Linked DNA regions of Coturnix japonica. The protein of the gene in region 1 interacts with the protein of each later gene in a pairwise test. Links are inferred from orthologs where the notes say so. Each region holds a gene or a part of one and is shown in the gene's direction. Other genes may lie near its edges. The genes, in order: OPRM1, GJA4 and RANBP9.

The links.
Region 2: the proteins of OPRM1 (region 1) and GJA4 interact in binary tests that used the Homo sapiens proteins (3 or more experiments, as listed by UniProt). The link is inferred for Coturnix japonica from reciprocal best matches to the Homo sapiens genes OPRM1 and GJA4.
Region 3: the proteins of OPRM1 (region 1) and RANBP9 interact in binary tests that used the Homo sapiens proteins (3 or more experiments, as listed by UniProt). The link is inferred for Coturnix japonica from reciprocal best matches to the Homo sapiens genes OPRM1 and RANBP9.

Annotation. Positions count from the first base shown.
Region 1 is NC_029518.1:45,152,334-45,155,979, forward strand, and holds the end of OPRM1 (mu-type opioid receptor), read left to right. Parts: intron 1-687; coding exon of another isoform or gene 688-726; exon of another isoform or gene 727-1,141; intron 1,142-1,205; coding exon 1,206-1,349; 3' UTR 1,350-3,045; downstream 3,046-3,646. UniProt on the Homo sapiens protein: Receptor for endogenous opioids such as beta-endorphin and endomorphin. Receptor for natural and synthetic opioids including morphine, heroin, DAMGO, fentanyl, etorphine, buprenorphin and methadone.
Region 2 is NC_029538.1:3,939,591-3,943,341, reverse strand, and holds GJA4 (gap junction alpha-4 protein), read left to right. Parts: upstream 1-848; 5' UTR 849-969; intron 970-1,020; exon of another isoform or gene 1,021-1,286; intron 1,287-1,678; 5' UTR 1,679-1,698; coding exon 1,699-2,730; 3' UTR 2,731-3,736; downstream 3,737-3,751. UniProt on the Homo sapiens protein: One gap junction consists of a cluster of closely packed pairs of transmembrane channels, the connexons, through which materials of low MW diffuse from one cell to a neighboring cell.
Region 3 is NC_029517.1:68,402,307-68,405,957, forward strand, and holds part of RANBP9 (ran-binding protein 9), read left to right. Parts: intron 1-1,292; coding exon 1,293-1,483; intron 1,484-3,060; coding exon 3,061-3,208; intron 3,209-3,651. UniProt on the Homo sapiens protein: May act as scaffolding protein, and as adapter protein to couple membrane receptors to intracellular signaling pathways. Acts as a mediator of cell spreading and actin cytoskeleton rearrangement.

The DNA of each region.
Region 1 (3,646 bases):
TTGACAATTTCTGATTGCTGAGCAGTAAAAAAAAAGGTTGCAGGTTTTCAGGATATGATGTGTAGTAAGCAGATTTTCTTGATGAAAATTTCTGTGTGGATATCATGCCTGTACATGAATAGGCCTGGATACTATGGGCACCCAGGGCAGAGGGATGGTTGTGATTATTTCCTGATGTAAGTCCATCTCACACAGAATATAAACTGGATTTTTAAATTCAAATCCAGGAGCTAGCCAATTTACTGATGTGAACACAGAAAGCAAACTTATATAGCATCTAGAATACCAGCTTCCCTGCAGTTGCTACAGATACAATACAGGGAGTGAATGAAATCCTTCTCTACAAGTGAAACTCATGGAGGGTTCCCAACTAGAAGGAAAACTTCTGGCTGGCTATGAAACAGTCTCTCATGCAAACACGACAGCACTGAAGATTCGTTTCTGTGTCGTTAAAGTTCAGACCCAAAATTTGTTTCTTACCATTCTCTCTACCTTGTTGTATTATGACAGACTCATGTTCACCCTGATTCCTGGGTTGCCAGCTCAGCTTTACAGGGCAGCATAATAGAAGCAAATGGGATGTAAATACCTATTTAAAAACACACCCTGTAAACACACAGACTGGTGGGGGGCTGGGGGCATAAAACAAGTAATTGCTCATTGTGTTTGCAATTTCTTTCCTTTCAGTTGGAACTCCAAGAAGCTGAAACCACCCCACTGCCGTGACAGGGTCTGCTGCAGTATAGCTCTCAAAGCAATTACAAACCAGTGCCACAGTGTTTCTGTGCAGTCTACTATGGGAAGGTGTAGGATATGCTTTCCCTCAAAAGAGAAAAACCAAAACAAAAACAACAATAAAAGAATAATCATAGAGGAAAGTGCCTGCTTTTCCAGTCTGTCAAAAACTGCTTCTGCAGCACTTCTACACTGCTCATAACAGAAGCATGAAACTCAAGGGCAAGCAGAGCCAAAAGGTATGGGGGCTTTCCAAGCTGCACTGTTCAAAACAGTCATATTATATATACATCTGTTAGTCTAAAACAAAGCTATCTGATACGCTCTGGCAAGTTAGAATGGCGTTAAACAGGTTGGAAACAAAAGACAGACAGCTTTTGAAAAAAAAAAGAAGTTGAGCTTTTAATGACAGGAAATAATGGGAAATGAAGTTGGGTCTGTGATTTATATTTAAATTTCTTTTTTTGTAGAGGTGTTTTCTGTGTAGGTTGTTTGTGTGCCAAAGTCTCACAGGATCATCTAGAACAACATGTTGGAAACAAGAGTTCTTCACTTATAAAGACTGCATATTCCAAAACTTCAAAGGAAAAATATTTCCTTCAGTGATAATTTAAAGAAAAGAAAAACCTCTAAGCATCTCCATTCTCTTCTTATATAAGAACTTTTACAGTCAAAACAATGAGGTATCAGTTCACCTAAAAGAGTAAATGGAAATATCCCATGCTGTTATTAGTAGAATTATCCCTAAAAAAGCATTGACTGTTACGGTAAACTCCACCATGAATCTGCATGAATAGATGTACATCTATCAGCTTGTCAATGAATTCTCTTTAGTTTACCAGATTTCAACTGCCCTGTTGGCAGTATCTCAAACTTGGAAGTCAACAACTTGTGTGAACTGGTTGGAAGAGTTAGCACATCAGAGCTGCTTAAAAATATATATATACATTTTGATAGATTTTTTTTTTCCCTTAACCAAACCCATGTTTGCTTTTCTAACTAACTTAATGCAGTCTGCATTTCCATTCTGTGTTATCTAGTAAAACATGTGAAGATTTATGAAAGAAACATCATACCGAAGTAAATGTCATCCTAGTAAATGTCATCTTATCTGTTTTTTTGTATGGAAAATAGAGATATCCATGTAGATAACTTGTGGTGCAATAGTATTTTCTAGCCATTGTTTGTTTCTTGCTTTGTAAATAAACCATCAGTAGTTAAGTGGGGGGGCAGGGCAATATACTTAAGTGTACTCTAAAATACAACTCTATGGAACAGGGTTTTCTTTCTATTTCTTCTTATTTATTTCTTAATTTCACTATTAAAACTCGTGTAACAGAATATGATTTTAGTGTGAAGTCATTTGTTTCTGCCTTGGACTATGTAATAAAGACTGAAGGCCAAATCCTTGTGAGTTGTAAATTGAAGTAACACTACTCTTGTCTCATCAGTGTGGTGAAGCTAAATGTGTAGATAAATAGGTTTTATATCAGCATAATGTGAAATTGGATGTAGCAGAAGTGCCTTTTTTCCATTTTCTGTTAAAAATTCTGCCATGCTGTCATAGAGGTTCCATGTTTAATTTTGCATTAGTTTAGCAAGATTTCCTCACAGTCATCATTAAATTTTAAACCAGATCTGTCATTATCTAACTTTAAAAAAGCATGGGATAGGAACCTGAAAAAAAAATTGGACGTGTTCTTTTGCACTACATAGCAGTATTATTTAACTAACAAGAACATAAACTAAAGCAGAGATGCAAATTAGTGCTGTCCAACAGCACTGAGTCTAGCATGATCTGAACAGTCTACCATGCTACAATATACCAAACTGAAATACACTGAACAACTATTACAAAAGCCTTCAGCAGTAAATTGGGAAGAAAACTAAGATCATAGTTTAATGGTTAGTTTGAAGTACCTTAGCTGTTACAGAATTTGCATAATGAACTGAAAACATCATTTCTATACTTGGAATGTAACAAAGCTCACAGGTAAAATCCTATGACTTGCCAACAGCAAAAAGTTTTAAAAGATATTTTAGGTTTCTACAGTCCAATAATTAATTGAGCAACCTCACAGTAAATATTTTTAGTAGTACTAATGTTTTTGTAGGCATAATGGTCCAAGGATATGAAGAAGCAAATTTTATTATCAGAACATCAGCAAAAATAAGTTAAATGCCCTGTTTGTTTATCAAAAGACATGGATGTTCGCTGGCAGTGCTGTGGAGAAAGTATCATGTTGTTTCGCAATCTGTGTATCTTCATTGTAATCCTTTAATAAAAATGCTTGTGTTGCTTGTGTACTTGCACATACTGTATTCACATCACAGCACATGTTGATCATCATGCCCTTTTTTAATAGCTCATCTCTAGAAAATGCTGTGCTATCAACCAATACCAACACATCACCTTGGATGTTCTCATATTATCTGACTGCTTTAAAGAACAGCTACCATGTTTTATTTAAAAAGGAGGACATGCAGATAGTTCATTTCTTTTTAAGAGGTGTACATACCCATTCCTATGATTCTGTAATGCACACACACAGAATGCATAGTACAGCACACAGGGCCTCAGAGGAGTTTTATGTGTAGAAGAAAGCAAATAAATCTTCAATATTAATGGCCCTTCTGTACGTCCCTTATGCGCACACATTTCTTGATGACTACAAGTGATCCAAAGCAGGCCAGCAGCTGCTCTCATCTTGTTCCCAGCCTATGCAAGTCCCTAGAAAACCCAATTGTCCTCAAGGAACGTATCTGCTGCCACTGGTAGTCCTACTAGCCCAGTGATACAATACAACAGAATTCCAAAGCAAGAGAAAAAAAAAGAACACAAAACTGCATCAAACCCCATGTTCCATTTGTCTCATAGACACCATCAAACCACAAAACAGTTGAGCTTAGC
Region 2 (3,751 bases), on another chromosome or scaffold:
TCTGCTTGGATTGCCCAAGTCCTGCCGCTCCCATGCAGCCTGTGCTGTGTGCCATCCCACTGCAGCTGGGGGAACACAAATGGGGGTTCTGTCCCCCTGAGCAGCAGGACTTAACCCTGTGCATAAAATACCAGCATTAATTACACTGCTTTCCTGCATCAGCCGCATCTCCGGTCCCCTCACTAAGAGCAAAGCTACTCAGAGCATCCGCACCGCGGCCTCCCGGTGCCACCCCACAACCTCCCGCTGTCCCCAAACCCTCCCTTATCTCAGCCGGGCTCTGTTCGAACCCGACGGCTGCCGCAGCTCGGTGCCTTTTGCCCAAGCTCATCCTGCGGTGTGGCTCCAGCACCACCCAGCGCCCACGCCGCGCACGGCCCCGCTCCACGAGCGCCTGGAGGAGCGAAATATCCCAAATCCCGCAGGAACGGAGCGGTGCCGAGGGCAGCATCCTCCGGGTACGGCCGTACGGGGCCGGAGCGTCTCCCGTCTGATGTCCTCACTGCTGTCCCCGCCGCCTCGCGATGCCCCCGGCTGCAGAAGGGCTTTGAACGGGTGCTGGGCTCTCAGCCGCCGGACTCTCCCCAGGGAACAACAGGACACAGCCATTCCCACCGCTCTCTGTCCCCGTCTCCCCCATGGAGCTGCCGACCCCCCGCCGGCTCCTCTCCCCCCGCCCGTCCCGTACTGCATTGACTCCGACGTTCGGCCCCGGCAACGATTCGCGTTTGGGTCGTGTACAACTTCTCTCTCCCCGCCTCCCACCGTCACCGGGAGCCCTCCCGGGCGGTGCTGGCGGCCCCACCGCCCCCGGCCCGCCCCGACGGGGTGGGAGCGGGCGGCCCCGGCCCGGCCCGGCCTCCGGCTCCCCCGGGTCCCGCACGGCCCCCGCAGCCCGGCCCGGCCCTGCCGCTCACAACCTGCACGGCCCGAGGCAGAAGGGACGTGCCCAGCGCTGCCAGGCGGGCGGTGAGTGAGTGGGACCCCTCGGGACCCCCTGCACTGCATCACTTTTTGCTTTGCGATGGGGTCACTGCTCTCTGCATGCACCCGCTTTTCTGCTTCGGGGCATTTCTCCATCCCACCGGGAGACGTGTTCCTTTAACGGTCCAGCTGTGCTTAATTGGCAGGGGTTAATTAGGAGTCAGGGCTGTGGCTGCTTCCTCTTTCCCAGCTGGGCTGCAGGGCTGTGGTATGAGGGGGAATGTGGGGCAGGCTGGCTGGTCGGCAGAGCTTCCGTTTGGGACAACCAGGGTCCCCCCCAAGGAGTTCCTGGTCTGTGTGTAGTAAGTTGCTTTGGGACCCCCAGGCTGGGGGCTATGGGGGAACAATTTGGGGCTGAGGTGGAATTATCCTACAGCGAGGTTGGGCTGAGCTTAGTGGTCTTTTCCATCTTTAATGACTCTGATTGTGCACTCAATGTGGGGACAGCACTGCCTGGGTGTCGGGGTGGCAGCTGTACTCAGTGCTTTGTGCCGCTGTCTCTGTAGTCATGCTGCTTGCTGCCCTTTGTTGGAGCTGGGTTGTAGGAGGGGTGAGTTTAGGCTGCTCCTGCGAGCTGCCAGTCATGCCCTCACAGTGGGTTTGCTGGGACCTTCTGAAGGTCCTGAGAAAGCTTAAGGATGCAGCATGTGAATACAGGATTGACTCAATCCCCCTCTCCTCCCTCTGCTGCCAGAGGCACAAGGCTCCTAGAAGATGGGAGACTGGGGATTCCTGGAGAAACTGCTGGACCAAGTCCAGGAGCACTCAACTGTGATCGGGAAGATATGGCTCACAGTCCTGTTCATCTTCCGTATCATGATCCTGGTTGTGGCTGCAGAGAGAGTCTGGGGAGATGAGCAGTCGGACTTCGTGTGCAACACCAAACAGCCCGGCTGTACCAACGTCTGCTATGATAAAGCCTTCCCCATCTCCCACATCCGTTACTGGGTGCTGCAGTTCCTCTTTGTCAGCACCCCGACCCTCATTTACCTGGGCCACGTTGTCTATCTCTCGCGGAAGGAGGAGAAGCTGAAACAGCAGGAGAATGAGCTCCGGGCTATCCACAGCAAGGACCCAAAGATTGAACAAGCATTGGCAGCTGTAGAGAAGAAGATGTCCAAGATCTACATGACAGAGGATGGGCGACTCAAGATCCAAGGGGCGCTGATGTGGACGTACATCATCAGTGTGATCTGCAAGAGCATCTTTGAGGCAGGCTTCCTTGTTGGCCAGTGGTACCTGTATGGCTTCTCTATGGTGCCACGCTATGTGTGCAAGAGAGACCCCTGCCCACACCAGGTGGACTGCTTCATCTCCCGCCCCACCGAGAAGACCATCTTCATCATCTTCATGCTGGTGATGGGCCTCATCTCCTTAATCCTCAACCTCCTGGAGCTCTTCCACCTCTGCTGCAAGAGCCTGCTTAACAACATCAAGAAGGTGCCGGTGCCGGCTGGCCCGAGCCAGGGTGCCTTTGCTGATGACATGGGCTCGGGTCCCTACCCAGCCAAGCATTACCCCTTCCTGCCTATGTCCGAGAGCCACACGCCGCCCTACCAGGCCTACAACAAGCTCTCCAGTGAGCAGAACTGGGCCAACTTCCGCAATGAGGAGAACCTGGCATTGGGCAGCAGCACCAGGCCCCTCTCGGACCCCTACGCCCCCAGGGCTCCAGATGCCCCAGTCCTTGAGGAGAAGCTGTGCAGCCGGCCCAGCAGCTCGGCATCCAAGAAGCAGTATGTCTAGGGCCAGGCTGGGGCCATCCCTGGTCCCTTTGTGCTTGGACTGGGGGACTGTTCCTTGTGCCCACCCCAAGGATGTGGTGCCTGCTATTGGGACCTGATGCTTACAAACTCACCAGCCCCCAAGCACAACCTCTGCTCTCTGCTGTTTTCCCCATGGGCCCTGCAAGGAAGAAAACTACATGGAAACTTCCCTGGGTTGTGCTGGGACGGCGTGTGAAGGGCAGAGGGACTTGGCATCAATGTGGGAAAGGGAGAAAATCCCCAGGGCTGGGAGCAGGCTGGCAGGGGGTCTTATCCATGCAGCTGGCCCCTGGGACAAGATCAAGTCCCACTGTTGGTTTGGGAGCACTGTGAAACCATGGGAAGCTTCTTGTCCTGGCCGTGGGCTGTGTCCCCTTCCTGTGACCCAGCAGACAGCTGGCACTGCTCCGTGCTGGGGCTTTGCTGCCAGAGCTTCTCCTGTCCCTGTGGACCACAGTGGGGTTAACCCTGCACTGGGATATTTGTCACACCGCACGTCCCCATCGCCCTGAGTGCCCCGGGACCCCCCCTGTGTCCTGTCCCTGGACCTTTTCCCATGTGATGTCTCTTAAGTTATTTTTAACGTGCCGACCCAAGCACGGAGCTTTCTGCCTTAAAGGTGCCGTGGTGCAGGGGACCAGAGAGCCACGTCCATCCCAGGCCTCCAAGCCCTTGAGCCCAGTGGTTTTGGGGAGGAATTAGCATAGCAGTAACTAGTTGGAGGGGGTCGTTGTTTTTAATACTTTGCACTAGTCATCTCCTGCTGTGGGTTGTAGTGCTGGTGATGGGGCAGAGGAATGGACCACTGCCCACCAAAGCTGTGAGATGGAAGGGGCTGCAGGAACCTGCTCCATCTGCTGCTCATGGACCACGTGCAGCTACAGAGCATGAGCGCAGGGTGTGGGCTTTGCTCCTCTGTTCTGTTTCCCTTTCCTCCCTGTCAGACTGAGCGCTGTATTGCATCGAATAAAGATGGATGAATTAAAGGTGCAGTGTGGAGA
Region 3 (3,651 bases), on another chromosome or scaffold:
AGAAACTTAAAGTTAAGCAGCTTTTTTTTAGAAAATGTGTAGTTTTTTTTCTTTATGCTGTATTTATTTGCTACGTGTTAAACTAGGTTTTGTTATCAGGGTCTTGTTTTGCAGCATAATTCACATCTTGCTGTAGACTTGTCCTCTAGTACTGAGTTTTTGTATTTTTAAATACGAATTTTAATCGGATTCAGTGTCAAGTAAAACTTTAAAATGTAACTGATAGAGTGTCGTATGCAAGAAGGTTAAGAGTCTTGTGGCATAAGTTGGTCTGTTCCTCCAAATGGCTGACTGACATTAAACACCTCTTTAAGATGAGTTGTTGCACTCCTTGTCACTAAACTGCAAACGTCTCTGGATTATACAGTGAAAATTCAGTAATCCCAGAGTCCTTGTAGCTTCATGGGCATGCAACATTCACCTTCATTCTGGCATTTCTACTTGCCAGCTGTGCTGATCCTCCAGGATTGTTTTATCATGTCACAACATTAGAATGTGGGGAAAAAAAATCTGCTCCTCCTGTAAGAAGAAAGCACTAGAATTTTTATGTTCAGTTAATTTACTTGAAACGTTTGAAGTCTGTCACTCAAGTGCTGAACAGAATTCACGTGATAGTACTGCAGACTTACCACAGAATGTGATTTGATGAAAGCCCTCACTCTAATGTCAACTGTATGTTACCTTTATCTCAATCTGTCTCGCCAAATTTTGCCTGCTCTATTAAGATTACCTAAGCATAAAACATTATGCAGTAGCTCTAAGCTTCATCAAACTCCATAGTAAAATCTCTACCTAAAATAAAATTGACAGAGTAACCACCTCTAAAGGGAAGGTTTGTATGTGAGTTTGCTTACTAAACTGTTTTCTGGTGTAAATGTCTCATGTTAAAAAAACTTTGCCTGGAACAGTAAGGATTAAATGATGTTCTCATTATCTTTGAGAGAAATAATGGGCACAGCAAGATAACTATATATCCTTCTCAAGCAGTACACTTGCCCCTGCCAATAAAACAAAACAGTTTAACCAAAAAATACATTTTAGTGCTCTAAACTTTGAGGACTTATTGCCAGAGCTCATCCTCAAAGATAACATTCCTGTTCTTCTCCCTCCTAAACTTCCTAGTTTCCTATTTTGGCCAATACTCAATTTGTTGATGATTGGGTTAGTGACGTCCAGCGTTTTGTTGAGTCAGACTGTTTTAAAGTGTATTTAATGCTAAAATCAGTGCTATCATTGGTAAATTGAAGTGTTTGAATTGTTTTGTTAGCTTAACTTCTTTGTCTTTTGTTTAGGGTGCGCCAGTTCATAGAGATGGTGAATGGTACAGACAGTGAAGTGCGGTGTTTGGGAGGCCACAGTCCAAAATCTCAAGATAGTTACCCTGTTAGCCCACGGTCTTTTAATAGTCCTAGCATGAGCCCCAGCCATGGAATGAATATTCACAATTTGGCGACAGGCAAAGGGAGCAGCACACATTTTTCTGGTAAGTTGATGCGAAAGATATACCACATCTACAAAGTTTTTTCTGTGGTTTTGAGTACTGGGAGAAGGCACCAATATTGAACCTGTGGATAAACTGTTTCAGTTGGGGCTGAGGCCTTTAGCATTGAAGCAGAGACCTAACAGTCAAAATACGTTATTCCCAATCACTACAGAAATAGTATATATGAAATCTTAAGAAATTATTGCTTCTGTGAGGTAGGAGGTTCTGATGTGAATTTCTGTTGTCGCTTTGGTATTAATCCATGGTTTAGGCAAAGTGCCTGAAGTCCAGTAAATGGTCTGTGGTGTTTGTGGAATAGTAGGAAATACCAGGAGCTGGGTGGCCAAGTTAGGTTAAACAACCAAAAAAAATACTGCTGAGTACTGCAATCTGCACAGCTGAAACTGTTCTGAAAGCACCTAATGGTGGTGGCAAAGCTTCAGTGGGAGATGAAGATGTTCAGATCTGCCCTATGCCAATAGAAAGATTCCAGCGCTGGTACTTGAGCATGTCATCTCTGAAGTCGGTATCGCTTTGGTAGCGTGTAGAGGTGGTCAGCTTTCAGTTCTCTTTCTTTCTTAAATCTAAACTGGAGCAGACTGGGAGCTTTGCTGGTTTCTTGTTTGTTTTTCCTTCTCTCTGTGGAGTCCAGAATACCGTCTGCTGCTTCAGGTGTTTTAGTCTTGTTGCACTCAGTTGCTGTTGTTTCCTTGGGTTCTTATCATGATATATGGTAGAAAGCACCTCTAACTTTCTTATTTTGAAAGCAGAGGCACTGCTTAATAAGGAAGCTGGTAAATGATGTTGTTAGCAGTGAGATTTAGGATTTGCTGAATGGCAGAAAATGGCAGGGGGGTGGAGGTGGTTGGGGTCTTTCATTTGTTTTTTAATAATAAATCTTTCCTGTGACCTATTTCTGGGTTAGTTGATGTTTAGGGAGCTCCTACATTTATGCTTGATTTGCCAATTATGTATTTGCTTCAAATGGTTGTTCATTGATTACATTTTAGAAGGGTCAGAAGAAATTTTAGCCAGACATGATAATTTCACAGCATGGTATAATTTTTATATAGCAAAGCACAATACTAGCAATTAAAATAATTATATAGGAAAGCAGGAGGGTTGTATTTGTGTAGCAGCATGGCAAACGTTTCAATACTGAATTTTACTGTGTGTTTTCAAAGATAATTATGTGATAAAGAATTAGTAAGATGCATGGCTGCTTTCATTCTTAATTATTACCACAGTGGCCTAGAAAAGGTTTTTACATCTTTCAGAAATGTTTCTAAATGATTCTGTGTTGATTCAGTTTTATGTTTTACTCATGTATATGCAGTACTGAATAAAAAGCTTCCCATCTGTAAGTATTTGTTAAATCATGTTTTCACTTCTGTACTGTAGAAACCTTTTAAAGAATGAATACCTGAAGTCTGGAGTCTGCCTTTTTAGGATTATTTCTTTGACAAATGTAGTATTTTGTGGCTGGGAGCAATTATGTGGTTCTTACTTCACTTGTGTTAAATTGGTATCTACAAACGTGTTTGTAATTAATTACAACTATAAAAACTTTCTTTCAGGGTTTGAAAGTAGTTGCAGTAATGGAGTAATATCAAATAAAGGGCATCAGTCTTACTGTCACAGTAAGCATACAGCCACCAGCTTGAATGTACCAGAGCTTAACAACATAAATGTATCGAGATCTCAGCAGGTTAACAGCTATTCAAGGTGAGTAAACTTCAGTGCTTCCAGTTTGTGCTTATGTAGTCTACATAGTTTTTATTATAGAGAAGAGTTTCTAGAGGAATTTTTTTTTCTTCCAAGAGTAGTTACAAAATATCATTGGAGGGCACTGGTGGGAAAGGATAAATACTGCTTCTGTTCGTGATTGCTTGAGTCTGCTCTGGCTTTAACTTCTCCAGCTGAAGAGACTGTTTTTTCCCATTCAGTTAAAGAAATGCAATGAAGAAAACTTACCTTCCTTATAGCTTTTGGTGTTCAATTTAGAAGCTGTTTAGGGAAGATCACCTAGCTCACTTGTAATTCTAATTTAAACCATTGACATTAGTTTAAGAACCCTCAAAACAAAGTGCTTCTTTGGAAGGTAGTACCTAAATACATCCTACTCCTAAGGATGTTACCCTGTTTTGATTGAATGGGTCGGCAAATAG